Linked DNA regions of Astyanax mexicanus. The protein of the gene in region 3 interacts with the protein of the main gene of each other region in a pairwise test. Links are inferred from orthologs where the notes say so. Each region holds a gene or a part of one and is shown on either strand. Other genes may lie near its edges.

The links.
Region 1: the proteins of tfip11 (region 3) and poll interact in binary tests that used the Homo sapiens proteins (3 or more experiments, as listed by UniProt). The two-hybrid records come from large-scale screens. The link is inferred for Astyanax mexicanus from reciprocal best matches to the Homo sapiens genes TFIP11 and POLL.
Region 2: the proteins of tfip11 (region 3) and snw1 interact in binary tests that used the Homo sapiens proteins (3 or more experiments, as listed by UniProt). The link is inferred for Astyanax mexicanus from reciprocal best matches to the Homo sapiens genes TFIP11 and SNW1.

What each region holds. Positions count from the first base shown.
Region 1 is NC_064428.1:27,909,311-27,919,239, reverse strand, and holds the start of poll (DNA polymerase lambda), read left to right. Parts: upstream 1-5,890; 5' UTR 5,891-5,976; intron 5,977-7,235; 5' UTR 7,236-7,267; coding exon 7,268-7,376; intron 7,377-7,544; coding exon 7,545-7,842; intron 7,843-8,138; coding exon 8,139-8,256; intron 8,257-8,429; coding exon 8,430-8,750; intron 8,751-9,249; coding exon 9,250-9,423; intron 9,424-9,929. Other genes in the region: protein DPCD, read right to left, coding at 1-53, 1,530-1,632, 3,653-3,786, 3,925-4,046, 4,619-4,699, 4,938-5,049.
Region 2 is NC_064408.1:54,940,360-54,950,918, reverse strand, and holds the start of snw1 (SNW domain-containing protein 1), read left to right. Parts: upstream 1-6,520; 5' UTR 6,521-6,660; coding exon 6,661-6,674; intron 6,675-7,316; coding exon 7,317-7,470; intron 7,471-7,588; coding exon 7,589-7,750; intron 7,751-7,829; coding exon 7,830-7,925; intron 7,926-8,197; coding exon 8,198-8,304; intron 8,305-8,396; coding exon 8,397-8,501; intron 8,502-8,666; coding exon 8,667-8,736; intron 8,737-8,826; coding exon 8,827-8,892; intron 8,893-8,989; coding exon 8,990-9,106; intron 9,107-10,051; coding exon 10,052-10,193; intron 10,194-10,559. UniProt on the Homo sapiens protein: Involved in pre-mRNA splicing as component of the spliceosome. As a component of the minor spliceosome, involved in the splicing of U12-type introns in pre-mRNAs.
Region 3 is NC_064420.1:33,029,002-33,039,325, reverse strand, and holds the start of tfip11 (tuftelin-interacting protein 11), read left to right. Parts: upstream 1-6,442; 5' UTR 6,443-6,532; intron 6,533-7,749; 5' UTR 7,750-7,753; coding exon 7,754-7,962; intron 7,963-8,717; coding exon 8,718-8,883; intron 8,884-9,427; coding exon 9,428-9,584; intron 9,585-9,667; coding exon 9,668-9,795; intron 9,796-9,947; coding exon 9,948-10,103; intron 10,104-10,324. Other genes in the region: naca (nascent polypeptide-associated complex subunit alpha), read right to left, coding at 553-1,266, 3,882-3,951. UniProt on the Homo sapiens protein: Involved in pre-mRNA splicing, specifically in spliceosome disassembly during late-stage splicing events. Intron turnover seems to proceed through reactions in two lariat-intron associated complexes termed Intron Large (IL) and Intron Small (IS).

The DNA.
Region 1 (9,929 bases), on a different chromosome or scaffold from region 3:
AATTCCCTCATCAGCTCCTGTTCCAGTGTTAAAATCTCTTTGGGCTTCTTATACTGCAATAGAAGTAAAATAAATGCATGTAAAATCAGTGAACACCATCACCCAGTGAAAGCAGATCCAGTCGGGCTCATTTAAGATTACGATTTGAGTGGGTTGCCCTTGGTTGTGGCTCAGACACCAGAATATACTGGACTTTAAGGCACACTATCAATGAACGTATATTTTCTGGGCTATTTTCATACATAAGGTGCACCGGATTATAAGGCGCATTTTAAGCGACAATAGTAAGGAACCAGGGTGTTGCCCAGTTTCCCTTCTAATTCGAAAGAAAACTGTTTATTTGGGTGAGTAAAGCACTTCTGTTTATTTACAGTATGCCTAGATTTTTTATATTTTTAACAGCATGGTTAGCAGCAGCTCTAGCCACAGTTAGCTGCGTTTAGTTAGTAAATGCCGCTCTACAGCGCTACACTGAGGAACTCTAAGTGTTCTGGTAACCCAGGGTGCTACCAGCTAGCGTTCATCCCACGTAGCTTGTTTTAACACAGTAAACACGCAGACTAGAGTCTAATACACTTGCCACTAAACACAAAAGCGCTAGTGCTGCGCCCAATGCTAATACTGCTCCAGCCTCGATGCTGGAGAAACTTCACTGAAACTCCTGTATAACACTGTTCTTCAGCGGAGTGGCACACTGTCGATTTTAGGACAATTAAAGGAATTAAAGTACACCTTATATCGCGAAAAATACGGTAATACATATACATTGTCAAAATGTATGTGTTGCACTCAGAATGAAGCAAAAATTTATGTGTGGAGGCACCAAGCTCAACACTTCACATGTCCAGAAGGCCTGGTGTCGTGTGGTGTGTGGTGTGCAATTTTGTATGATGCCAAAAAAAAACTGTTCTTCCCTGCTTTGACAGCCAAATGTAAAGTTAATAATGTCTTGCAACCAACTATATCTATCCCACTATTTTAACAGGACAATGCTCATCCACATGCTGCTGCTATGTTTAGTCACAGACACTTTTAGCTGCATTCCCAGACCTATTCCTGATTAAAATGTGTGAGATGCTGTGATAAGATGTACTATCAACAACTCTAACACTCCCTAAAAAAACCCTAGTGAAAAATCTGCATGAGAATATATATTATATATTGCATGTCATGGATTATCATGAGACACCATTACGTCTCATGCATTACACACTACTTCTATATGTGTTGCTCAATAAATATAACCAGGAGTTGTCCAGTCATTCACCCGAAATATTTAATCATTTACTGTTCCTGGTTGCCTTCATCTTCCTTCTGAATATCATTACACTCCGCCACTTCCTTCTGGGTGCAACTATTTTTGCAACTATCGGCGGTGAGTGTATAATCATTTAACCAAACGGAAACTGTTCCGCATAATCTGATCTGGTCTTAGGCCAGTTTGTCAACAGCAGAGCAGGACAGATCTACATTGAAAGCAGTAACGGTGATTAAGTGAGCAGCCCCTAAGGTAAGGGCCTTTAACTTACACTGATGATTAAAGTGTTGTTAGCATGGCTGAAGCTCAAGGCTGCGCTCTCCAGAGGCAGCTGACAGCGGTCGAGGTCTGGAATACTGAACTTCTTATAGTACCTGGGAAATGAAGGGAAGAATAAAGCAGAAAAGGCCTTATTCACCACCCACTTAAAGGAGAAGACCTTTATAAAATCTACTTCAGGTTTTGTAAAACATGATAACATGTACGGACTTTCATTAAATAGCCCACTTTTATTCTTCCCAAGCATTCCAAAATACAGTGCTTTTAGCCGATGCTCCCAACAGACTTACAATGACTTACATGCAAAGAAATGTCTATTTTTACACCATTAACAAGCTCAAAGTAGCTCCATACTTCACAGGTAGACACCCTGACGTTTAAAACGAGGCACTGAGAACTTTGAAAGCATGATCACAAATAAATAAGACGGATAGGGGAACAGATTGCAAAATTAATTCAGTAGAAATGCATGAATTCCAGCTGTTGCTTAATTTCAAAGTTCTTAGGGCCAATGCCTTAGAACTCCATTAATAAAGGGTGCTTTGAGCTTGTTGTTAATGGTGTAAAAATAGCAATTTATTTATAGGCGCTATGCCCCCATCACTAGCATTGTAAGCCTGTTGGAAGCATCGGCTTAAATCGCTGTATTTCAGAATGTGAAGGGTAAACAGAGGTGGGCTATTCAACAAAAGTTTGTACTCACCATCATGTTTCACTACACCCCAAGTTCATTTCACACCTGATTTCTCCTTTAATAACACTTTTCTCATGCACACTCAGAGATTCACCAATAGGGCTGTCATGATATATATGTTACTGTCCTTATCTTACAGTATAACAGTATATAGAAGTGCATTGCTTTATAAAAGGCTGTTAATGCATTATATTATTGTATTATCCTTATATCTGGGCCATAAAATAGTTTTAAAATAATAGCAAAAATGTTGTTTACTAAAACAACAAAATTAAAACAACTAAAATTTCTTTTAGTTTCCAATTACTTATAAAACAATAGGTCATCAAAAAAAATATTTAGTGTGATAGCATTCCTAAGATTTTTTTTATTTGGGATTTGGTCAAATTATGAGAACAATGGGATCCTTGTAACCAGATTATAAGATCAGATCTAGGAACAATTCTGCAGTTTAAAAACTAAGAAAAATAAGAATGTTCTTAGTACAGTGGGGCCATATTTATCAAACATCTCAGAGTAAGAATGCAGATCCAGGATCAATTAAAGTTAAAGACTTCTATTAGACAGCTGATGAGAGGTGATCTTAGATCAGTACTTTTACCTTAACATGCTTAATTAATGAGCCTACTTGATTATTGGTTTGTTTAAACCAATAGGGGGGAGCCCTTAAACCTTATCTTGAGCCAACAGTGCCACCTACAGGAAGACACTTAGCAGAAGGGAGTGTAGAATGAACAATACTAATAATAAGGTCGGTGTTTAATAGAGTAGAATTTGACAACAAAGGCCATGTGGGGTCTGTATGGGTGGCCCAACTGGGACTACACAGTCTGTCTATGGGTTCCATGCTGGCTCCAAATATGTATGCTCATCAGGGTCAGTGATGGAACCAGGAGGGGTCTAAAAGTTGGCCCCAGAGCCCCATGCGTTGCCAGTGTTCAATAGACAAGAATGACCAGTGAGAAATCTGAACGTTTAGCTTAAAGGATCCATCCCATTTTATTATTAAATTATATGACTCTCTGATAAATCTTTCTTTGTGAAAATTGATGAGATACATTATATGAACAAAAGTGTTGGGACACCTGTTCATTTTTTTGTTTCTTCCTAAATTAAGGGTATTAAAAATGACTTTATCCTGCTTTAACTGGAGAAACTGTCTCTACTCTCCTTTGAAAAGGGAGGACTGCTGTGAGGATTTGAGTGCATTTAGTGACAAAAGCAAGAGTTTCTGAGGTGAGGATGCTGGATTGATGGTCACCACCTCAGCTTATCATCCCCAACTATCATCTTCCACTGATCCACAGCTCAGTGCTGGTTAAGCTTTATACCCCTCTAACCTTTAAAAGCCATAGGACAATTATTAGAAGGGGTGTCCACAAACATTTAAACACCTAGTATTATCATCTGACTGGAGTTACTTTTTGTTCGTGGTCCGGATGATGCAGCATCGTTCAGCAGGCTCCACTGAAACACTATAAGTGTCTACGGGGTACGGGATGTTGCGAACTCTCCACTGGAAACTGGCCTTCGTGTCTTTACGTATAAACAAAGGCTGCAGAGAACAAAACAAAGCAACATTAAAACTTTTTAATCATACACTGAATCATGAACCCTTCAAAAATATCTTTTAAAAAAAGCATACGCATAATTTTGCATGACGAGTCACATTAAAACAGGAAGACAAACCTACATTAGAGCTACTTTCTTTGATTTCTGTGTCTGTGGAGGGAACAGCACTGGGGTTTCTTTCACCGACTTCTACTTGCCACTGTCCTGCTCCACCCAGTTTGGTTTTAGAGCGCAACTGTCGCACTGAGAAAGAGAAAACATTAAGAAATACGTTGTCACAGGAAATACAGTGGGTAACTTTGATGGGGAGTTCATTAGAGCATGTACAAATGGTTATATTCAAACTTTATTTTAATTTTGTACACAATATATTAATACAATATAGTACACACGTATAGTATTTTTGTGTGTATGTATTTTTTCTCTACAATTTTGTGAAATAAATGCTTAAAATATATCACTCTGTATGTATTGCATCTATACAATATATGATGTATATAATATTATATAATATATAGCTATATTTTTACATTTTATTGTTTGTTTACAGTTGGTTAAAAGCTAAAATGTAAAGCAAAATACCTTAATTTTTATACAGTTATACCTTGGTGTCTAGTCTCTCTCTAAGTTTCAAATGTGTATAATGGCATTGGTATCAGCAGATATATACATATGTCATATTGGATATCAGCATTAGCCAGGAATTCACTAATCAGTGCATCCCTAGTTTTTTTCTTTGCTTTATCCTGTCCTCCAGGACCAGGATTGAGAAGTAATGTATTACAGCATTTTGTGAGCATGCATGTTTCACTTACAGATAAGTTCATCTGTTCTCATGTCGTATTCTTCAGCCATCTCACTGCCGTCTGTAAACAGGTAGTGTACTTTCCTTTTTCCTGTATAAAATACAGCATTTAATTGATTTAAGTAGAAACACCGCAGGTCTGATTGGTGGATGATGCAGCTGTGAAGCTCTAGAACTTTGTCAGCGTTAAACTCACACATCCACACATCAACACACACCGCCTCTAACTGACTCACACACACCTTATTACACACTAAACATTTATTATAGAAGATCAGAGCGAGAGCAAAGCCCTGTTTACTCAAAAAAGAGCAGCGCACGCGCCCTACCATCAGAAATTAGCGCTGTTTTCTTAGCAGACCTCAGCACCTCCGACCAGCTCTGCACCGCCATGATGGAAAACACATAGTAGTCAACTTCCGGGACGCTGAACGTTCCCATGGAAACGGAGAAGACTACCGGAACAAAAAAAAACATTTTAAGATTTTTTAATATATTTTTAGAACGTTTTATATACACGTATATTAAATGTTGTATTTATTATTAATATAATATAATATTAATCAATATTCAATTAACAAATTTTTCGCTTTTGCTTTTTGTACAGTTTTAATTACGAAATATTCAAAAATACATATAAAGCGATTACACATTAAAACTAATAAAAAGGCCAATAACTAAATAAATAAGGTTAAAAATGCAGTTAAATACAAATAATATTTGTATTTTTAAATAACAGTTTTTTTGCCGTTTTAATAATGAAGTTTTCAAATATACATAAAAATCACAGCGAACTCAAAATAAAATAAAAATAATAACTACACACATAGAAAATAGAGAATATACAATAAATACATATTAATTAATTAATAATTATAAAAATATATAATTGTAATTATAATAATTAAAATGTAATTATATTAATTAATAATTATATTAAATATATTAATATTGTTATTATTTTCAATAATAATAATATATACATACTAAATATTACTTATTCTATTTTAAGCAAAAGTAAAAAATAATATCAATACATAGCGCTTTTTTAATACTAAACATTTTTATATGAAGTACTGTAGAGCATTGCGTTGCGTTTTTGGGGTAAATTGTCAGTAGACTTAAGGCTAAAAACGTACATTTTAAATCCATCTTACCTTTTTCTTTAAAAATGTGGAGTCACACAAATTAGGAAAAGTTCAAAATTTCATTATTTATTATATAAAATGTGGCTTAAAGGGCAAATATATATTTTTGCTGCAACAACTTTTTTTTTAAACTGAAACCTGCGAATCTGATTGGTCTACTGGAGACCGAGCCCCGGATGTGACCGTTTTAAAGGGCTGGCTGGCTGGCTGGTGTTGACGGGTGAGTTGTGTTATTGCTTTTTTTTGCAGTTTAACTGTAGTTTCTGCTGTTTTACTGCATATTTGTAGTGAAAAAGTAAAGAAAATGTGGCAGGTAGGAAATGGGAGGTGTGGCACGGTCAGTTTTTAGAAGCAGCCAGGGTAATAGCTGTTGTAAAGTGAAGCTAGCCTTGTTGCTAACCTATGTTGTAAACACGGGCTGGGTCCCAAATCACACACTGCTAAACTAGCTACTTTACTAAGTGACGAAATGAATGAACTTTCACTTGTGGGGCATTTATTTTGGATTTTGGGACGCAGCCCCACATTTAGCTCCACTGAAAGCTAATTAACATGACTTGTATTATCTTTGTAGTTACATGTATTAGTGTTAGCTAACTAGCTACTGCTAAACCAGTGAATGCTCCTGTTGTTTCTAAACTATGGAGCTTAAAAGCTGACATATATTAGAATCTGCATTTTGTATACTTGAATTAAAAGCTAATGTTCTGAACTTGAGAATTTAAGAAATTAGCTGTTTTTCAGATTTACCTCTGGCCAAAATCTGTGTTTCTGATTTTTAAATCAAACTGATGTTATCATATGTACAATGAAAATCCTAAGTTTTGTGTTTTTTAAACTTAAAAAATGTTGCTGTTAATAAAAGCAAAAAAAAAATCAGATAACTTACATAGATTCAATTCAGTTTGGTTTAAAAGTCAGAAATACAGATTTGAGCCAAAGCTAAATGTGAAAAATATTTTTTTTGCTTTTACTAACAGCAACGTTTTTCAAGTTAAAAACACAAGAAAGCATTATCCAAATCCAACCCTATAAAATATTTCAAGCTCTTATAAAAGTATTGTAAAGCCTTTTGTAAAAGTGGAACAGAGTACTATCAAACTGTGTGTAAAGTTGCAATAATACAACTGTATAAAAGTGAAACATATTACTTTTGGACTGTGTAAACTCATTCAAATGTTTAATTTAATTTAATTCAAAATACAATATGCAGGTTTAATATTAGATGACATTAAGGAGTTAAATTAATACTAATTTTGCACTGTTACTAATATTGATCCGTCTACTACTACGGATGCACAGATGTGGTAATTCTGGGCCCATGCTGGTATCCAATATTACACATGTAGCTATATATTTTCATAGCTAGCACCAAACATACATCAAAGTGCTTTTACATAATCTGAAAATTGTTTTTTTTTATCATCAATATATTTCATGTGTTTTTCATACTGAAATGTTCTCGTCTCTGTGTTTTAGGTAGGGCTTCCCTTTTGGGAACTCTGCTCGAAATGGAAAAGCATGGTATTCTCAAAGCTTTTCCCAAAGTGAAAAGGCACCGTCCAGCTGAAAGCAAAGAGGCACCTCCAGCCAAGAAGACACCAGTTCAAACAGTGACTGGTAAGACTGTAATCTGTTCTGTTTTGTCTAAACTACCAAGTAACCCTAAGATGCTATAGAAGAAATCTCTCAACAGGAGCATTATTAAAGTCATCATGATGTTGGATGATTACTACCTCATCTCATCCCCAACTCTAAAGTGCATCCCTGTCTGTTTTTCTCTTTCAGGAAATGTGTTCCAGGGTGTCTCCATCCACATAATCCCCACTGGTATCGGAAAGGCTCGATGTGACCTATTCCACCAACAGATCGTTCAGAATGGGGGCAAAGTTGAGCCTATCTTCAGTTCCAGCTGCACCCATGTGGTTGTAGATGAGTCTGTGGACAAAGAGCGGGCCTTGAGGCTGCTGAAGACTGAAACGCTGCCATCTGCTGTGGAGCTGGTGAAGTGCAGATGGCTCAGTTCTTGCATCTCAGAGAAAAGGCTTGTGAGCACCGAAGAGTACAGTCTTCTTACATCTAAAAGGTATTGCTGAGTTAGTGATATATTTTACATATACACTGACATAAACTGTTCTGTTAAGTCCCATGATTTTTGCCATGTCCCATGGAAGCTGAAAATGCTGAACTAAAAAATATGATTTATCTTACAGCCCTAGTATGCATTAGCATATTTTATACACCTCAGAGAGAGGGAAGGGGGAAAAACAAAAATAAATATATAAATACAAAATATTTGGTTATGACATGAAAGTCAAAACCTCCTGTAATGTTTAATAGGATGTAGATCTACCTAAAAATCTTTTGTGTCTTTCTTTGTAGTCCTCAGCATGTTTCTATTGAAGAGCCAAAGAAGAGTCCGCTGGGTGCCACTTCTGTTTCTGAGGAAACGGCACCACAGGCTGATCCTAAAATAACCCAAGATGACCCTGAAGAGACGGTAAACAGGAGGAAACTGCCTCCATCTGCAGAGTCCATCAGTTGTTTGTGTTTATTTGCCTTTTTGGTTTATCAAGTGTCACAAACAGAAAGATAAAACTTGATCCTAGACTGGAATTCCTGCTGACATGTTTGAGATATATAATCCACATTCTTTTACTTGGTGTCCCACAGGTCCCGGACACTCAGAACGAACATCTTGAGGAAGATGGTGTGTCACAGGACGACTTGGAGGCTTTGATTAGTGGAGTTAAGTCTAGCGCGGGTGCCCCAGATGAAGCCCAGAATGTGTTGGAAAAACCTGCTTTGCCAGGGAAGTGGGTTTGTGCCCAGTCGTCCAAAATCAAGGGCGAGAACCACAACAAGCACATCACCGACAAGCTGGAGCAGTTGACCAAAGCTTACACCCACACAGGGGACAAGTGGAGAGCCCTGAGCTACTCGAAAGCTGTTAATGCCCTTAAGAGCTACCACAAGCCTATTACTTCATATCAGGTCAGTCTGACTTCATTGGAAGCTAAGAATTCTGTCATGCAACAAGGACTACTAATCTGTCCCATGACTTTTGCCATATGCCATGGAAGCTAAAAGACACTTCCCTAACCTGCGGTATATCCAGTGGGGCCCCCTGCATTGATTGTGAATCTGATTTTTGTATACACAGAAATTGTAGCCAGATGCTGCCACCTGCTGCACTGTCCACTGTGGATGATAACCTGGCACTGTGGAGCAGCACAGCTTTGAATATTTTCCCATATTGGGACCCAATATCAAACTTCTTTTTAAAAAATTAAGTTCTAAAACAAGTATGCTCAAGGATGATAACTTGGCAAAATGATTGTTTAATATTTAGTACAATGTATTTTGTTGTGTAATTAAATTTTCTGTCTTAAACCAAGATGATTTGAATATTGAGGTGTCGATCACTGAAAACATTTTTCCATGTTACTTCAATAAATAAATAAAGACTACCTTTTTTCTGTGATGCCTGCAGGAAGCAAATCAGATCCCAGGGATTGGCAAAGCAATGGCAAGTAAGATTGAAGAGATCATGGACAGCGGACACCTGAGGAAGCTAGACAATTTTGGGGAGTCTGTGTCTGTCCTGGAGCTGTTCACCAACATCTGGGGCGCTGGTGCAAAGACCGCCCAGCTTTGGTATCAACAAGTGAGATACTCATATATTAATACAATGACATTATTAAGACAGAGCAACAGTAGATATATTAGCCTACGTGGCAAAACTTTCAACTTGTCTTCTTTTGGCGGGAAACTGACAAATTTGCATTGAAACATGGGATTATAAATTCAAAATGAGGGCAGCTGAGTTTAACAGCCATCCATCAAAATTACTGAAGAACAAACTCTTTTGTGGGCATTGATATGTAGCCAGACATCACTTAGGTATTAATTCTACACGCCAGGTTGTAAGGTGCAGTAAAGCCACTTCACTGAAGTACAGAGTTATAAAGGAATTTTAGTTTAGTTCTCTATAACTGAGGCTGGAGCAGCCTTAACATTAAGCGCTGCTAACCGTGGCTAGTGCTGCTGCTAACCGCACTGTTGAAAATATTGGAAAGCTAAGCTTACTGTAAATAGACAAAAGCGCTTTACTTACCCAAATAAATCATTTTCAGAAGAGAAATCTGTGTAGATTATCTACATGCCGATATC
Region 2 (10,559 bases), on a different chromosome or scaffold from region 3:
CATAAATAAATTCTATACAGAATACTATACTATACTATACTATATACTGTGCATCCAACAATTCTTAGTCTTGACCATTTGCTATTTTATCCGCCATTTTTTCACGTTGGTTTCTCCATGTCCACTCCTTTACACCCTGCATCTCTGCGTCCCCTAAAATGCTGTTCCTGTGTCGGTGGCTCCCCTCACTTCTGGAGAGTGTGAGGGCTTCATTCTCCCAATAATCTGACCAGTACCTCATTGAATACAGGGGCATTAAAACCTGCCCTTCTGGGGTGGGCACTCCAGGCCTCACCAGAGCAAACACTTCTGTGTGCACTGTTAGTTGCTCTTGTTTTATGCACCCCAGGAGTTGCTGGTTTTGAGGGGGGTTTCTGTCATGCCTTTGTCCAGTTTTGTCCCTTGTTTGTCCTGTCTATGTGTTAGTCATATCTCTGTTTTTGTTCATCTAGCACATGGCTCTGTTTTTTGTTTTGTTTCTTTCTTGTCTCTGCCCTATTGATTAATGTTCCCATCTGTGTTTCATTTGTTACCAGCCACTCTCTTCCCCATGTGTTCCTTTTCTGTCCTTGTTTCTTGCAATCTTTGTCAGGTGTGTTTACGTCCAGCCTCCTTGCCATCTGTGAATAGTTTCCTAAACAAAATATTTGTTCAAGTTGGAGACATATGGTTTGTTTATGGTAGATTTGTTTAACTTTTTGAAATATATAATATTGTGCTAATATTGCAGTCATTTAAAACAAAATCAGCACCTGTCGGAAATTACAAACAGTCAAAAGAAATGACCATTTAAATGGAATTTGTTTCAAATTTTCTATTGTTATATGATGTGAGCATTATGATTATGTTACGGTGTTACATGTCTTCTGGCTACAATTTTTTTTCTTATTGTAATGATTAAACTACATCTGTTTAGCCCTATTTATTGTGTCAGCCATTTTGTATTGCTCTTTAAAATCTCAGCATTACATTTTATTCCCTATATACTTCACTATCAAACACCCATAATACATCACTAAATGTAATGTACAGACAATGTACGCTACAATATGCAATATATACCATAGTGCAGTATGGTGGTGTTGTGTCAGAGTGACATAATCAAAGATATATAATGAGTAGTGAATGAGTTCATGAGAAAAACATTCTGACCAGAGCTTAGGTTAGCACGGAGACCTGGAACTCTAGACATGTTCTTTTAATAGACAAGCCACAGTTTAACTCATATCAGAGTTAATGCAAATTAGACAAAAAAACATTTAAACCCCCTGATAATAAGGTGTGCCTTCTAGGATCTCTTTTTTATAATACTCAGAATATTACTATAAGTTTACAAGAACCTTCATATTTTATTTAAAATAATGTATAAACATTAAGATTTGATTAACCATTTTTTAGACTGTTCTGTAATTTATAAACACAGTTTTTCAAACATTTGCCTCATATATCTGCCTCTCTTCAAAATATTAATAAATAACAAGAATTCACACTTATAAAATAGGGAATAATGTTTAAAAATTACCTTGATGATGTGGATAAACAGTACAATTTAGAAACAAACAGTAAAAACATGACTGTTCAACCTTTATTCATAAATCCATGTCTACTTTTCTGTCTGAATTTACAGTTATCCAGGTATCCAAATAAAGAGTGTGCATGTTTGCTGCCACCAAGCTGTATCATAGACAGTTGTTTTTATTGTTCATCGTAATGCAGTATAAATGCTATTACATTTTAAAACTTATAAAATTGAATATGCAACAGATTTAGCACTAAATCATAAATATGAAGGATATGGGGCCTCACCCCAGCCGCCTGGGATCCGCCGTCCTCTCTGGAAACATTGAGGCGGTGCTATGCCGGGACTGACTGGCTCTAACCAGTCATACCGGCCAGGTTAGTGGTCTAAGTAATGGGCAGTTTAGTAATATACATTCTTCTGATGATTTATCTTGCCACTTTCCTGTTCATAAGGCCGTGAGTTACAATTATGTGCCTTTTTCTGATACAAGTGCATTTTTACTGTGTAGGATTGAGACTGTGTCCCATGTGTCGCTCGAAATCGAAAAAGTCAGAAAATCTGTTTTAATAATCTTATTAAAATTAAAACAACAGCATCCGTCTCTCAGAGTACCAGCAGCGTCCGTATTAAACTAGGGCTATTAAATATAAGATCGCTAGCACCAAAATCAGTAATTGTTAATGATATTATTACTGATAATCACCTTACTGCACTATGTCTGTGTGCACTATGTCTATGTTTACCCCCCCAGGTTTTAGCTATTTTAGTTACCCACGCAGCTCTGGTCGTGGCGGTGGTGTTGCCACAATTTATAACTCAATGTTAGGTATAACTCAAAACTCAGAATTGGATGCTAAGTCGTTTGAAGTTCTTAGTCTTAAAGTATCAGGCCCATCTCCTGCTTCCAAAACACAGCATTTGTTCCTGCTAATAACACTGTATCGTCCTCTTCAAATTTTATCCGTGAATTTGATGACTTTCTAGCAGCAGTAACTCTTCTTTCTGATAAGGTCGTAATTGTTGGAGACTTTAATATCCACTTTGAAAAGGATCAGGATCCACTAAAATTGCATTTAAATCAGTTTTAGATGCTCTAGGTTTCAAACAAAATGTAATTGGCCCCACTCACCGATGTAGTCATTCATTAGACTTAGTTTTGACACTGGGTATCGAGGCTGAGAATACAGTTACTCTTTCTCAACATGACTCGATATCCGATCATTATTTAATTATGTTTGAAATAGTTTTTAATCAAAATATCCTCCTCCCACCCCGCTATATCAGCAAGCGTAAAATAACAACCTCAATTGCTAGTGATTTTGTAAATAAACCCCCTGACTTAACTATCTCCCTTCCGTCCCATGAACATGATCTCGAGCACATAACAGAAAACTTACAAACTGTGCTCCGCTCTAACCTGGATCATGTAGAGCCAACAAAAATAAACAAATTAGGGATTTTTCCAGCTCGCATGGCAGCATAGTCTCACAGACTACAAAAAAGCCCTAATTAAAACAAAATCCCAGTATATCTCAGCGCTTATTGAGAAAAACAGAGACAACCCTAGATTTCTTTTCACTACTGTGGCTAAACTTACCGGCAGTCAAAAACAAACTAGCTCCGTTACCCCAGCCAACATTAATAGTAATGATTTCATGAAGTTCTTTGATGATAAAATTAATAACATTAGACAAAAAATTCAGTATTACTCCCAAAATGTACCTATAGATATTAATGAATGCTGCTCCAGCTCTGAGGCACACCTAGAGTATTTCAGCCTGGTTACAGAAAAATATTTACTTAGTGTAATTAACTCATCAAAAGCGTGCATATTAGATCCAGTACCCTCACAGATACTTAAACAGGCACTGCCAAAGGTGGGCATTACTAGAAATAGTAAATTCATCTCTTAGCATGGGCTACGTACCCAATTCTCTAAAATTGGCGGTCATTAAGCCCATTATCAAAAAACCAAATCTGGACCCCAGTGAGCTTGCTAATTATAGACCAAATTCTATCTTCCTTTTGTAGCCAAAATCCTAGAAAAAATTGTGAAACAGCTTTACTTAGAGTAACTAATGATTTACTTTCAGCTCTTGATAGGGGCAGTACTGCTATACTTGTACTGCTAGATCTTAGTGATGCTTTTGACACCATAGATCACGCTATTCTGCTTGATAGGTTAGAAAATCTTATAGGAATTAAAGGATCTGCCCTTACCTGGTTCAGATCTTATCTGAGAGATCGATTCCAGTGTGTTTATTTAAATAAAGAATGCTCTTATCAGTCTAGAGTAAAATATGGTGTCCCTCAGGGATCAATACTGTGTCCATTACTCTTTACATGTTACCGCTGGGTAAAAACATCAGTAGGCAGTATACTCTCTCTGGAAGATGCTGAGAAGCTGAAGCATGCATTCATAACCTCGAGGCTGGACTACTGAAACACGCACTGTTGGCTGGAAGTCCACATAAATTACTTCATAAACTCCAGCTAGTTCAGAATGCAGCCGCGAGAGTGCTTACTAGAACCAGAAAGGTTGATCATATTACCTATTCTTTCATCCCTACACTGGCTACCTGTTAAATTTCGTATAGATTATAAAATACTCCTCCTGACGTATAAATCCCTCAATGGTCTGGCCCCGCATTATTTGCAGGAACTTCTTACTCCTTACAATCCGCCGCGTTCACTCCGCTCCCAAGGCGCTGGCCTGTTATTAGTCCCGCGCATTAGAAAAAACTATCCAGGAGGAAGAGCTTTTTTTTATAAAGCTCCCCAACTTTGGAATAGCCTCCCTATTAATATACGGGACTCAGACACACTCTCAATCTTTAAATCTAGACTCAAAACATTTCTATTTGCTCAAGCTTTTGAGTAATGTCTCATTACAATTTTCTTCCTCTTACAGCTTATCCAGCAAATATAAACCCTGTCCTAATCATCTGCTTTCTCTTTCTCTCCCCATGTCCTGAGCTGCTGAGTTTTAAAAACCATTCTAACCCCTTTTTCTTCCCTCCCCTCTCTGTTCTCTCTCTCTATCTCTCTCACATGTGCTGAGATGCCCGGCCGGTCTGCCTGGATGTGTCCGTTTGTGGTTCCAGTTTTCCAGAATCAGCCATGTCCTTCTACTCATCAGAATTATTACACAACCCTTCTAACTCCTGATTTTTTCTCTTTCTTTCCTTTCTGTTTTCTATTTCTTTTAAATGTATGGAGATGCCCTGTTCCTGTTGTTCCCATCCTGGCTCTCCACTGCCCGCTGTGTTCTACTCCGGCTCTGCAGCCCTGCACTGATTAACATTAACACACTCAGTATCTGTTTCTGTATTGGCCATAGCTCTATAATTTGTGCTTATCACATTTTTATATTCATAAATTAGTACCTTTTATTTTAGCTAAAGTTCACATTAATTCTCTGTACTGTTGTTTTGTTCTGTTATTTGTTTGTACTGAGCAGGTCAACCCGAGTAGGATGGGTTCCTCTGACTGAGTCTTGGGCTGTATTCGGAATGGCATACTACTATACTGCATACTGCATACTGCACTAGTATGTACTGCATACTGCACACTGCCCAGTACGTAGTATTCAGTACTGCAACACTTTTGATTGGAGTACCCTACACCAGGGGTGTCCAAACTTTTTGCTGGGGGCCAGAAGGAGAAATATATTTGAAGTCAAGGGCCACACTCTGTAATAAAACAAATAATGAAATATACCACTTTAAATAATACTTTTTTCCTGATTATTTCATTTACACACCATTTTACTTGGCTTACTATCTTTATCTTTGACAGTGTTGTGTAAACTAAGATTTTTCAAATTGATGTTTAATTTCATGATGTCTCCTAATGTTAAACTCCTTAATTACGGCAACTTTTAGACTCATTGGCCTCGTTTTTCTGCGCTAGAAATGCGCACTCTCTCCACTTTTAGACTCTTTGCCCCGTTTTTCTGCGCTAGAAATGCGCACTCTCTCCGCTTTTAGACTCTTTGGCCCGTTTTTCTGCGCTAGAAATGCGCACTCTCTCTAAAATTCTAAAATATATAAAATGTTATATACAGTGCAATTGGCACTGTATCCAAAATATAATTTGTCTTGCAGGAAGCCAGAAGAACGCTTTAAATACCAAATGAAAATGGCTCTTAAAAGGTGTAAAATCAAACCTGGAGATCTGGAAGATATGGCTGCTGATCGCAACACCTGGTGGCAGCTGTGCCTAGTTGGAACCCAAACACTGGAGGAGGAATAGACAGCCAGAAGACAACAAAGAAGACAACAAAGAGTGCTCTGGAGAGACACACCAATGGTTGGCAGCCAAACAAACACTATGCAATAGAATCTGTGGATCCATGTTGGACTGTTCAGAAAACTCACCGCTAGAAGACAGAGATGGACGTCATCCTCGGATTCGATGGACAACCACAAGCAAAGTGTTTGCTTCCACCCAGCTGTCATACACAGTTTCTGAAATGCTATTGAATTCGTGAACATATAAAATATAATATATGAGGGAGTTGTAAGCATTTTGCATAATGTTAATGGGTGTGCAGTTTTCCCCATGATTTAAAGTGAACATTCCCGTTATTTTGATGTGTATAAATCCTAAAGGATATGAAGCTATTGGTGTGTTTTTTTTCTTAAAGCCATTTATTCTTATATGAGAACATTGGCATGTTTAGGCACTGAAGTGATTTGGAGGTAAATGAATGAGTGTTTACAGATGCAGAGGTGGTCTAGAACTACATGCATATTATCTCAGTTTTCGGTATTAACGCTAAAAGGCGTTGCGCACATTTTCCCGAAACAGTAAAATGAATGATGTGCGTCTGTCTCAGTGGTCCTACTGCCCTGATTATGTAAGTATCATCTGGATCAGATGGATCTCACCCTCCGTTTAAAATTTATTAGCGCCGAAAAATGAAACTAACTTTACCGAGATAGCAGATGCTGATGTTATAGCGCCCCCTGGGTGAGAGACTCGCCTCTGGAGAGATTGCGTGGTGTTGGTGTGGACTTTTATTTTGACGTGTTTTAATAACGCGAGACTTTAGCAGGGAGCTGGAGCTCGGGGGAGAAAGGTCTGCGCTGAGAGTCTCCAGTCTTGAGCTGAAGCTTTTCACAAAGAGAGAAAACATGTCTCTGGCCAGGTGAGTCACTCTGGAGCCGGTTAGCTTTGTTACCCTGTTGTTAGCACTGTCGGCGGGTTACTCACAGAACTGTGTCTGTGGGGGTGTTCTGGTTCTCTACTGCAATCCGTTTTTGGCTGAAAGGCCTAAGTTAGTTGTTATTTTATCCGCTAGCTTTAGCCAGTTAGCTACAGGGCTAACTAGCTTAGCAAGCTAACGCTAACGCACTTTCTTCCCCGGTCATGAACCCACGGGTAGATTAAGCTGTAATCAAGGCTGTCGTTTGTTTATTAGCTATAGTTAAAATGTAGATATCAGATTAGAACTGTGTACAGAAACATAACAGTTACTGCACGCTAGGCTAGCTAAAGCTAGTCTTACTGTAGATATCCGTCCAGCCAAAACGGTGTTCAGCGATCTGTCTGTCTCTCTGTCTGTCTGTCTGTCTGTCTGTCTGTCTCTCTCGGGATAAACTGACAAAACACTCAATGTAAGTGTAAAATATATATTACATTACACTTACATTGAGTGTTTTGTCAGTTTATGCCAGTTATACCAGCACACAGTCATGTTTTACCATAAGTGTACTCAGTTGAACATTATTGGACTGTTAATAGATAGATTGGTATTGTATTTTTAATGTAGATATGCTTTGTTTTACAGTTTTTTACCCGCGCCCACTCAGCTGTCCCAGGACCAGCTTGAGTCAGAAGAGAGGACCAGAGCTCAGAGGTCCCAGTCCACATCTCTGATGCTCACTCGAAGAGAACCACCTCCCTATGGTTCTCGAAAAGGATGGGTTCCCCGCAGTATTGAGGTGTGTCTGTGTTTATCTGCTTGTAACATATTAAATTAAATGAGTTCAAATAGTTTGTGATGTAGTACTTTTCATTTTGTACTATAAAAACATATTAAAATTACCATTTATTTTAAAGGATTTTGGAGATGGTGGTGCATTCCCTGAGATCCACGTGGCTCAGTATCCACTGGAGATGGGCAGAAAAAAGAAGACATCCAATGCCCTTGCTGTACAGGTGGATGCTGAGGGCAAAATAAAGTATGATGCAATTGCTCGACAAAGCCAAGGAAAGGATAAGGTACATCTTATGTTAGAACAGTTTAGAATTGTTTATCATATTATAAAATGTATGCTCACACCTTGTGTAATTTCAACAGGTTATATTCAGTAAATACACAGATTTGCTTCCTAAAGAAGTGCTCAATGATGATGCCCCAGAGTTACAGAGACCAGATGAAGAGGCCATTAAAGAGGTGAGATATGTTAGTGGTTGTTTGTAAGCATTTACAGGTTGTCAGTGGATAATAATGCAGTAATAATTGATTATAATGAATTTTGGTTTGGTTTTTGGTTTTAATTAAAAATAATGTTCTTGAATTTTAATTGGGGGATGACTGTAATTTCCTTGTTAGTACTTTTGCTGTAATGTTGTTAAACCTTATTTTTCAGTAAGATTTTAAGGTTTTGAAATTTATTTCTTTAATGAAAATGTAACATATATTCAAATGTATTTCTTTTATTTCAGCTTACAGAGAAGACCAGAGCTGCTTTGGACAAGCAGGTTTCCCAGAAAATTGCTGCAGCAATGCCTGTACGTGCAGCAGATAAACAGGCACCAGCACAGTACATACGGTAATATTCAAACCTCACAAGTATGTTTTACTGTGGTGTCAATTGTGTGGTTCAACCTAGATATTCTGTAACTTATTATTTCTTTGCAACAGGTACACACCTTCTCAGCAGGGAGTAGCATTCAACTCGGGGGCCAAGCAAAGGGTCATCCGTATGGTGGAGATGCAAAAAGATCCAATGGAACCCCCACGTTTTAAGTACGTCACAGGACCCACAGTGGTGAACTATGTTACTGTGTACATTTTAAATGTAAAAAGTTATGGGCTAGTGTATAGTACCAGTAAGTAATTTCTAACTACTTGCTAACTGAATAAAGATCAGGAATAGTATGTAAGGTGTCTTGCATATGTCTGTTTGAATAGAATTAATAAGAAAATTCCTCGTGGACCTCCCTCTCCTCCTGCTCCAGTTATGCACTCTCCCAGTAGAAAGGTGAGTACCATAATTTAATCAGCATCATATTTGCTCATTACATGGGATACATTTTTAAATTTTTATTAATTAACTTTCTTATTGTCTCAGATGACGGTGAAAGAACAACAGGAGTGGAAGATTCCTCCATGCATTTCCAACTGGAAGAACGCAAAGGTTTCAGCAGATTTTTGTTGTCTGCCTTTACAATTATCTACCTTTAACTCTGTTGTCTTTCTGAATGGCAAAATAAATGTTCATTATTGTTTTTCAGGGTTACACAATCCCACTGGATAAACGTCTTGCTGCTGATGGAAGAGGTCTTCAGACAGTTCATATTAATGAGAACTTTGCAAAGTTAGCTGAAGCTCTCTACATTGCAGATAGAAAGGTAATCTATCTATATTTGTCAAAAAAAAATACAGGTGGACAATAAGGACTAAGTGATGAACAATTGTTGTTGATTTTGGGGATTATGACTCACATACTTTCTATACTGTAATAGTTTAATAGGAGGAATGATGCCGTTTCTTTTTTCTTTTCTTTTTTATCAGTACCGTTTTTTGCTCACTTTAAGGCGCACTGTATTATGAGGCACATTAATTAGCGTTTATTTTCTTACACAAGGCACACCAGATTATAAGGTACATTTTAAAAGACACTATAAGGAACTTCTACTTCAGCAGGTCTCGCAGCTGGGTGGTGGTGGGTTGTAGCTAATTAAGTTAAGCTAAGGATACAAAACTTTATAAAAAAAAAAAAAGTAAAGAGCTTTTGTTCATTTACAGTAAGCTTAGTTACTGAGATAATACACACCTCGAGACAGGGAAATGGAGGTTAGCAACTAATGCTAATGCTACTCAAGCCCCAGTGCAGGAGAACTAAACTGAACTTCTGAATAACACTGTAATTTGGCTGAGTGGCTCCTTACAGCCTGACTGGTAAAATTCATATGTACTAGATTAAAAAGCGCACTGTCAATTTTTTGAAAAGTTAAAGGATTTTAAGTGCGCCTAATAGTGCGATAAATATAGTATTATTCCAACTTTGTAAAAACAGTTAAGACCCTCTTCTGTTTTTACATCACTGTTCCTCTAGTGCACAAAGAAATCTCAACATTGTCCAAAATCTTTAGGTAGCTTACTCCCTATTATTTCCTGTGAATTGAAATAAAATATAATACAAACTGAGACTGTAGATATCAATACTTTTGCCCATTTAGAGCATTCGTTTGACTCCAATGAAAGAACATTCTTTTTAGTGCTTAGGAAAGTTTGATGATCCAAAGTGTCAGTCTTCATTCTTTTCATGCTTTCATTCCTTATTATGCTTTCAGGCCAGAGAAGCAGTGGAGATGCGCGCCCAGGTGGAAAAGAAGATGGCACAGAAGGAAAAAGAAAAGAAGGAGGAGAAGCTTAGGGAGCTTGCGAAGATGGCGCGAGACAGAAGAGCAGGGATCAAAGGCCATGGAGAAAAAGGTATTGTGGTGTTTATCAATAATTGGTGCTTGGGTCAAATACGCTAATTTCGTAAACACGAATGTCTTGATAAAAATGAGCTTTCGTTGCTATCTTTAAATTGACCTTTTTTTTTTACCAGGGCTTATCAAACTTTTTTGCCCTACTGTTAATGACTAAAAGCATAACAGCCCACATGTCACCTTTTTATGTAAAATGTTGCAAATTTGTTTAGTTTAGTTTAAAACTTGCTAAACTACAGCTGTGGCTTTAAGGTGAGCAGAAAACCACTTCACTTTTTAAAATGCATGTTGTTGAACTAATTGTTGCATAAACAAGACAGGAACAAAACTTGCTTTCTTTTTTTTCTTGTTTTGTTAAAACTAC
Region 3 (10,324 bases):
CGTAAGCTGTCTCTGAACGCTTCCGGAACAAAGCATTACTGCTGGAAATTGTTTAAGCAAAAATGTACCTTTTTTCTTTAAACAACAAATGTTTAAGTACACTAAGCATATGATTGTTATACAGACCAGGGTCTGTTACATCACTGCCTTTTTGTAGTAAGTGTTTATTGCCATAACCTCCTCCACAGTTTATCATTTATTTATGGTAGTCAGAAACTTTCTACTTGAGCCTCCATCCATGCCAACAAAAATGGAGTATAAATGAGCCTTGAGTGTGAACAGAGGATCTGGGTAAACTTGACATCTGGCCTGATTCAACAACAGTTCTGTAGATGTCTGAGACACCTACAAGAAAGGTCCCAAAATACTATTATATTCTGTTGTACAAATAAACTAATATTTATTTAACCTATTATGTATTTATTAATTAAAGAGGATTTATATAATGGCACACCAGAGCACTGGTGTGCAAGAGTGCACTGAAATATGCAAAGGTTAATAAGGGCTCCTGTTTTGAAAGCAGAGGGTCAAACTTCACACACACTGACCCACCTGGTAGGTGCTGAGAAGAAAGAGAAGGGCCAGCATGATTAGCCTGCACCTTCGCCTGGACAGCCTCTGAATGGGCTACGACTTCATTCTCTGATAAATTGTTGTTTTGAATGACCTCATCTACAGTAAGATAAACAGGTTTTTCTTCCATCGCTGCGGCTACTACAACCTGCTCTTCTCTTACATCTTCAGTGGTGGCCTCCACACTCATGGACTTCAAGCCATCAGATAATGCTTCCTCCCTCTTGGGTTCAGAAATGTTTTGTGGAGAAACAAACACACCATCTACCACATCTCCAGTGGCTAAACTCTCCTCAACTGCAGGTTCTGCAGATAATATTTCAGCAATCACAGGCTGTTCATCAGTAGTAACTTCTGGTACTTGGGCTGTAGGTTCCACCAGAGCTTCTTTCACGTCTTCAACAAGATCTTCTTGACTTTTAACAAGAGCGTCTTGGGCAGGTGCTTCTGGTTCTTCAGAGTCTTCACTAGCAGTAACAAGCTTAGTTTCATCCTGTTCCTCAGTAGCAAAGGTTGGCGCTTCACTATTGGACTGAATGTTTTCTACTTTAGGTGCTGGTTCTTCCACAGATTGTGCTACAACCTCAGCCTTTGTGATAGAGGCCTCAGGAACAGCACTCTCCACTGGAGTAGGCTTGGGAAATTCTGGAACTGCTGCCTCAGAACAGGCAGGCGTGTTTACCACCCCAGGAGCTAAGAGGGTGGAGAGGATCGAGGAAAGTAGAAAGTATAAGAAAGGAGGAAGGGCAGTCACAGTGAAAGGGTCAACAGCAGCTTAAGAAATCTCTCCAAGATATTCTGTTGCATATTTTTTATTATTTATTAGACCTCACCAATTTACACCTGGTCACAGCATGTTCCTTGAGTATAGTGCTGGGTGGTATGAACAAAAATGCTTATCAGGGTATTTTGCAAGATTCTGATGGTTTCACAGTATATGACTAATTTTTTTTATTACTTATAGTTTCATGACTGGGCTTAAAATAAAGTACAGAAGTACTTTGATTACTATTGGGTTTACTTTGTCTCAAAATTACAGAATATATTAAGAAATCAGACTTTATTAAAATAACAGCTGAAGAGTTTAAACAACAGACTTTAAAAAGAGAACAACTAACACATCTTTTACCAAACTAAATATCTTAAATAGTTCCATAACCTATAAATGAACCTAAAATACTCAATGTAAGTATATAGGAGATATTTCTCAAAAGCTCTATTGCACAAGTAAAACACAAGTTTATCAATTTACAGTGTGTTATTATTGAAGCCATCAGAGACATTACAGTATTTAAGGAGCTGTTTATTAGTTTATCATAATTCCCCTAGTTCTCCAGTTGACAAATGAATTAAGTCCGGTGTGCATTAATATTATCCTTTAAGCTACAGTATTAATTAATGTATTTAAACACAGCTTTAGTTACTCATATTGCAAGAAATAACAGCAGAGGCTGCAGGAGTTCTAATCTCATGTTTCTTTAGGCAAACCAGCGTGAGACTGAGCTGAGGTTACTGTGCTTCTTCTACATATATAAACAGAGCTCCGGAGCACCTCTAGTGGTAAAGAGAAAATGGTATGAGAAAAAAAAAAAAACATACTGTTTCAAAATCTCTCTCCGGTGTACCATACGAACCAGTATACCGCCCAGCATTACTTGAGTATCAGGATTATAGCCACATAAGGTCAGACTAAGTGTAAACACAATTCTGGTGGCTAAAATCTTACAGGATACAATCCAGATACTAGTCTGATGAAGTGACCAGTTGTACACAGAATCTTATATATGCAACAGAAAGTGATTAATGTTTTCTATCCACAGAAAACACATTTAACAAAACTATATGTATATTTATTTACACGCTTACAATGGCTTGTCAGTGAAACATTAGTTGGTGCCCATATACCACTCAAAAAATGTGTGTGGAGGAAGGTGAAGTTTGCCAACAGTGCCCAACATGTCCAACTTCTACCATGCAGTGCCCACAGTTAAGAATGGTGAAAGTCCAACACCTGCTAGTACCATATGTGATGCTACAAGAAAGGTCTTTAAGACAAGAAGTCAACCAAAACAGCTTTATAAAAAGAACAAGTAACATGTTGCTCCTAAAAGTACATTTTACCACATTTAAGTACTGCTGAAATGACCTCTAGCTTGGGTAACCACACAGCATTTTTTTTATTAAACAGATCTCTCGTCAGTGGCTATTCATCAACCATTCCCTTTCTAAAGCAGATGCAATATGCAGTCAAAGTTGTAGGGTTTGAGTCGAGAATCCAACAGAATTACTTGTACAAGGTTTGTTTTCAGGGAGAAAAGAGAAAAAAATAAAACAAAAAAAGGTTACATAAAAAAGGATGAACTGAACTAAACCAATACTGAAGCTATCAATGTAGCTATAAAACTTGACTATTCTCCCTTTCAGTATGACTAAATTATTTCACACTGTGCTCCTTAAAAAAAGGGATATGGTTTTTGTAGGTATACCGACTACACAATACATAAAACAAATGATCTACCCAAAAGAACACTCAAGATTTTAAAGTTTTAACACAGCTTCAGTAAAACACTCACTATTAAGTGTGTAAAAACCCTAAAATCAAGAACAAGCTACGTACAATGTAAAAGAAGAAAATCAATGAGTAGCTTCCAAACAAAATATTTTTTTAAGTAGTCTCAGACAGAGATGAAGCCTATCTTAGACCACAGAGTATTCTGAATGGAGATTCTCCATCAAAAGAAAAAAATATTCTATGACCAGGGTCAACCAGGAGTCCGGCCTTAGTGTGTAGGGGTTAGAAACTGACATTCCATAGAACAATGATTCATGCACAGTTGACTTATCCAAATCCCATGCACAAAAACAACAGTGAACACGTGCTTTAAAACACTACCACAATGCCTCGTGGTCATAAAAACAACAGGCATCGCAGGCAACTATTTTGCTTTCTGGAAAAGGAGGTCTTGGATGAACTCAATTTAAAAATAATCCCTTTCAGTCTAAATTTGACAAGGTTTGGTCGGCCATCTTAACCCAACCAAACTTGCATTCTCCGTTCAACAAAACCCGACACCACCCCCCACCCACCAGTCAAACCTGCTGCACAAATAATGTCCACAACAGCTGGTGACAAGGAGTTAAAAAAGACCAAGTGTCAGACATAGTTAGTTGTAAATACCTTAAGAGGAAAAGCTTTAACTTACTGCCATCAGGATTTTTTTTAAATCAATCAATCTACAGCAAATGAGCTCCAAGACCCCTAAACACAGAGGTTAGTCTACAATCTACTATAAATGAGCACTACATACCCGTCTCCACCTGGGGCTGCTGCATCTCCTGCTCTGTCACTGGGACAGTTTCTGTGGCTTCGCCTGGCATTGTTGTCTACAAAAAAAATAAAAATACATAAATAAAGAGCAAACTTTTTCAACTTTACTCACACAATCAGTAAACAAGAGTTTAATTAAGTTAAAATCAGTTAAATGATTAAAAAGTTACAAATTTCTTTAACACAAGCTGTACTAAACTGAACCAATGGTTAACAAATAGTGCAGGGTTTGGGGGAAATAAATTATATCTTTAAGACCAATATTATGCAAATCGATATATCGATATAATCGAATATATGTCTTGAGTTGACCATCAAGTGTTGTCATATTATAAGCAAATTTTCAAAGATCAGACACTCAAGTAATTCAACTAAATACATGTGGGAAAAGAACAGCATTAGGTGTGATCCTTGCCCATTTTTGCTGAATCATTATTTTAACAAGCCAATTCTCAAAAGCTCTAGTGGTTTACGTATTTATTTGTATATTGACATAACCTCGTAATATATTTGCTGACCTTAGTATTGCCCCCTGCGTTTACTTAGCTAGCAGGAAGAACCCATTAATGTGAAAGAGTTTTACATTAATGATGTTTAATATATTTAGGATATGTAAACAAACATTAAGAATAGAAGTCCGGTGCTCTGTAGAATGTAATGTGTAATGCTTCATTATGGTTAAATCAGTAGCATTACACATGGCTTGGAATAACTATTGCAGTTTTAGCAGTATTTTCTGGGACTACAGCTGTTATATTGTCCAAAACATTGGTGAGAGGCCTACTAAAAACCAGAGTAGATGTGTTAACCCAAAAGAGCATATGATGAAGTAGCTGTGTCACAAACCATTTAAAAGATGTGTAAATCTCCCTACAGCATTCTGTCATTTTAACCAAGTGTAGTTGCTAAGTGACTGAACTTTGTAATTAAGTTCATTACAGGACAGTGTGTGTGTGTGTGTGTGAATCTGACCTTATTTGGGTTATGTGCTGAAGATAAAACTAGCTCTTTTTAAAAGTAGATTTTTAGCTTGCAGCTGTTACACCATTTAAGTTAACAATTTAAAATGCTTTAACTCGACGTTTTAGAATATATACAGCTCTAGAAAAAAAAAAGAGACCACTTAAAAAAGTTTTTTTGGATTTTACCAAATTGTAAATCTCTGGAATATAATAGAGAGTAAGAAATAATCACAAGCCATCAAACGAAGTTGAACTGCTTTAAATTGTGCACCAGGAGTGGCATACATTTATCCAAAAGCAGTGTGTAAGACTGGTGAAGGAGAACATACATGAAAACGGATATTGAAAACCAGGGTTATTTCACCAAATATAGATTCCTGAACTCTTAACTTTATGAAAATGAACTTGTTTTCTTTGCATTATTTGAGGTCTGGGAGCTCTGCATATTTTTTTTTGTTATTTCAGCCATTTCTCATTTTCTGCTATTTTTACCAGAGCCGTATAGTTGGCTAACTTGTTCTAACACAAACTCTAGAAACTGTTAGGATACAGGTTATGAAATTGTTTAATCATTTGTGTTTTCAGGATTTTAACCTTAAAATATTTGAAGTCATGTGCTCATAGTGACAACATAATCGAATGAGCTACTCACATGATTTTTTCTGAATATATTTCTGAATTCAATAATTAGAAGTGGGTCTGAGCTCTTGAGGGTTAAAAAGTAAATGTAACAACGTTGGTAAGTTAGCTAATTAAAACATGACTAACTAGTTACCTAAGGTCAGTCCAAACTACGAACTATCTAGTTAGCTAAGCTAGCTAACGATCTAGTAGCTACCCTATGTATTAAAGTGCTTGGGGAAAGGGCTTTAAGTCATGTTTAGCTAACTATTTTGGCCTTTTAAATAACGTTGGGCTACTCAGGCTAATCTAGCTAACGTACTAAAGGAACTATAGAGCGTTAGGTACTGTAAAAAACGAAATACTACACATACATTTCCATGTGCCAACGTGACTAGCTAGCTTAGCTATCTAAAATGTTCTCCATGAACATGCTAGCAAGACCTGAAGCGCTGCTACCTATCTAGTTAGCTAACCGCTAGCTCTCCAGTTCACAGGCAGCCCAGACCTTAGTGTTCATTAGCTAGCTGGCTGGCCAACCTTACGAACCGGCTCTCTCACTCACTAAACACTCTAAAGAATTTTAGCTTCACTAAAAATCATTAAGAAAAGCCTATATACATATATAACTAACTATATTACTAAAAAACACAACTGTCATGTTCCAGCCCAGCCAGACAGAAGGCGCTGCCTCAGCTCCCCCATTTTGAAGAGTCTGCCGGCAGCATTGAACCACAATATCTAATATTTGGAGACGCGAAACGGGCCAATACTCAGCCCTTATCCGAGAAGAGCTTTTACCCAACGATTCTAGCCGGTTCTGGCAAAGCAAGCAAGCGTAGAAAGCTCGGATGCCACAAGATTGAAAGAAGGAACACTTACTAGGTCTGGGCTCGGGGTCCAAGATGGCTGTGAGAGAGGGTTTCTGACCTCTGCGTCACTGTGACATACACACCGCGCTTCCTGTACAGAGACAGGCCGACAGGAAGGAGCTGCGCAGTTTATAGCTGAAGATTAGCGCTGTCTGCTTAGCGCTATACACAGACAGGTGAGTGCTGCTGCTGCTGGTGCTCGTTTTCCTGATTTAAATTAAATTATTTAACCTAACGGTCTCTGTTGGTGGATGGGTAATACACAAACAGTAGGCCTAGCTAGCGAGATTAGCTAGCATTCGCTAACTTTGGGCTAACGTTACTATAACGCTGTTGTTGTGGGTTAGCTAGCTGGCTAACCAAGCTAATGTGAAGCTAGCTAGCTCATTTAGCTAACCTGGGTCCACACACCGAATTAGATACTATTTAGACGTATTAACGGGTTGCCGTAAGGATTAACGACCTCTAGGGTGAATAACAGCTGTGTAAATATAAATAAGCTAGTTAGTTAGCTAGCTATCTCTTTTATAAACAAAAAGCCTCCCCTTCAGTCTAGCTAGGTTAGCTAGTTAGCTTAGCTAGTTTAGCTAACTAGTTAGTAAATAAGCTGAGTGGTTCTAACATAATATCCCAGTAACTCTTGTGCTGCAGTTGTGCCTTACTCAAAAATAGGTAGGTTTAACCTCTTTCATGTAGTTTTCGTTTGTTAATTTAGTAGCTAATTGTTTCTATTAGTCAGTAGCTAGCTAGCCTGCTAATGGAATGTGTCCAAATGTTTAACTAACAGATGAATTAAATGGGTACAGAGTACCAATCAAACGCTTGGACTTCTCATTGAATGTGTTTTCTTTTCTTTTTATGTTATTTTTTTTACATTGTAAATTTCATATTAAAGACAGTAAGTCTGTACAGGAACAGCAACATGTGCAATTATTTTGTCAACAAAAAGTGTTAAACAAGCAATACTTGCTGAAAGAAATTATAAAGAAAAACATTAAATGAGAGTGTGTCCAAACTTTTGGCTTGTGCTTTCTGACTGCCACTTTCAGCAACTATTGTGCTGCTGTTGTGCCCTAGTGAGAAACACAGAAACTAGCTTGTGATGAAGTTCATCTATTGATTGTGCAAATTTTGTCTGTTAGTGTGTAGCTAGCTAATGATATGTGTTTTTCTCTGATTAACTGTAGAGACGTATCTAGCTGGTGGTTTAGCAGATTATCTATATGAGTGGGAGATATGTCATAAACGTAAAAACACAAAAAAATATCAAAATAAAAGACGTTTTAGTTAATGTTCTATAATATCTATGGTATGCTCAGAAAAAAAACAGTACTGTCACATTGCCCAGTCGACTGAATGCCATTCATTGTATGTGCTATTTTAATTCCTGCAGAATAATGTCTATGTCCCATCTGTATGGGCGTAGAGGAGGAGAGGAAGAGGAGGATGGGGTCGAGATTGAGAAGTTTGAGGTGTCTGAATGGGACTTGGCCAATGAGTTTAATCCAGATAGACGTCGGCACAGACAGACCAAAGAGGAGGCTACTTACGGAATATGGGCTGAACATGATTCTGATGATGAAAGACCCAGCTTTGGAGGCAAGAGGTACCCAAACATTACTTTAATTTCTAAAATTAATTTATGGTTAGAGGTTGTTTTTTTTCTGATACCACACTCAGGAAAACACTTATTGGTTTGCTAATACATAATGTTTGCTATAAACAGTGTGAAAAATGTGAAGATTTACATAGCAAATCTGTCATCACCCTCTCTAAATGTAAAATGTGAACATTTATGCTCAGAGGGCTTGATATGACCAAAATTTATATTGTGATATGTCATGTTTTGGTCAATGAGATATAAAACCTTTAATAGATTTTAACAGTATACAAGTCACCACCTGGGGTGTATTTAATCATGCACAGATTGAGCTGGGCAATATGGTAAAAGTATTTTATCTCAATATAACACAATACAGATATTTTCCTGACACAATATTTATCACAATGTTTTAAACCTCTTCTGCTGCACATCATCCAATTAAACAGGATATTTACACCCCTTGTAATTAAATGTAAAGTTGGGTCAGAGTACTTTAAACCCTGATGATCCTTAATATATTTATTATGATGATGTTAATATGGTAGGAATATTTATTACCTTCAGTTTAGACCCATTCTATTCTTTCATTGAATATATAATTTACCAATTCCCTATTTCCAGAACCACCACTTTTAACCTTTCTATAAGCAATAACTGAAGTCAGTTACTAACTAAAACAATTAGCATTAGGATGGTTTGCTTCTGTTTTTGCCACTGAGAAGATTCTAATTTTGCTCCATATGTGAAAAACTGTGTAGATCGAAGGACTACTCAGCCCCTGTGAACTTTATAAGTGCTGGCCTGAGGAAGACTGCAGCTGAAGAGAAACAACAACAGCAGCAGGGCTCTGATGATTCAGACGAGAATGAAGAAGCAGCAGCACCACCACCACCCCGTGCTACTGCACCCAAAAAGCTTCAGACGGTAGTGCAAAATACTTACATTTGTAATGCTGTTTTTTTGCCATTTCATTTTGCTTTGTGGGTATTCTAGCATTCACAGCTAATTTCACTGAATATAATCTGGCAATTTGGGTCTAATGTCTCATTTACGATCATGCTTTTTTGTAAGATACATATTTCAACACAATTGGGTATACATACGTTGCCCATGATATCGCAAGACAATTCTCTATGATATTTCAAAGCATCTGGATTACTAAAGAAGATTTAAAATTTATTTAAAAAAAAAAAAGGTAAAGACCAGAAATGATTGGATGATTTGGATTATAGATTTATTGGTGTCAGTTTCCCAGATTTTGACAACCATTATTTTTTAACCTGTTTATTTGATTAGTGCCACCACGTGGAGTAATGAAGCAGTAACCTTATTAAGTCAAATTTGGGGGGTTTACAATGTCTATGTTTCAGGAAAAATATTGATATTTAATGCCTTGTGCCAATATTATTTAGCTTTTCTAAGACTTATAGATTTCATTGTAACTATTCATTTGGTTTACATCCTCCAGGGTGGGAACTTTAAGACTTCCCATAAGACATTTGCTGGAAATATCCGACCAGGGCAGGATATCGGAAGCTGGGAGAAGCATACAAGAGGCATCGGTCAGAAGCTTCTGCAGAAGATGGGCTACGTCCCGGGCAAAGGCCTTGGAAAAAACGCACAGGGTAGAGTATCTTTGTCTGTGAAGGCTAATTCTGGGTTTTATTCAGATATGTTTATGTGTTCTGATGAGTGAATGTCTTTACAGGTATTGTAAACCCAATTGAGGCTAAAGTGCGAAAGGGCAAAGGAGCAGTGGGGGCTTATGGGAATGAGAGGACCCAGCAGTCCCTGCAAGATTTCCCTGTGGTAGACTCTGAAGAGGAAGAAGAGAATGTGAGTCAAAGATGCAAAATGACACACATTTGACCTCATGAATGAGGAAAAAAAAATTTCTTTTCTTTTAGATCCCAAATTAACCTTCAAGGTAACTTTTTGGGACCAGACACATTTGATAAACTAATCATTTGCTCTCTATATTTCTACAGGAATTTCAAAGGGAGTTGGGTCAGTGGCGTAGAGATCCAGTATCAGGGAAGAAAAAGCCCAAATATTCCTACAAAACTGTGGATGAGCTTAAGGCTCATGGGAAACTCACCAGTAAGAGCATGAGCAAACCTGCTGGAGAACTTGCCCAGGTCAAGGTGAGGCTATACTAACCTGTTGGCAGTTTTAAACAACATTAAAGTGCCAGATTATCTTTTAATCTTCATAAATCTTTGTCGTAACCTGTATACCCAGGCTGTGTCCAAAATGCTTTTTAACAAATTATTTCTATTGTCAGCCTATAATACCACCATACATATTTCTCTATTGTACATTATAAGCGTACCAATTTCAGAGCAATATTATCCAATAATTTGTA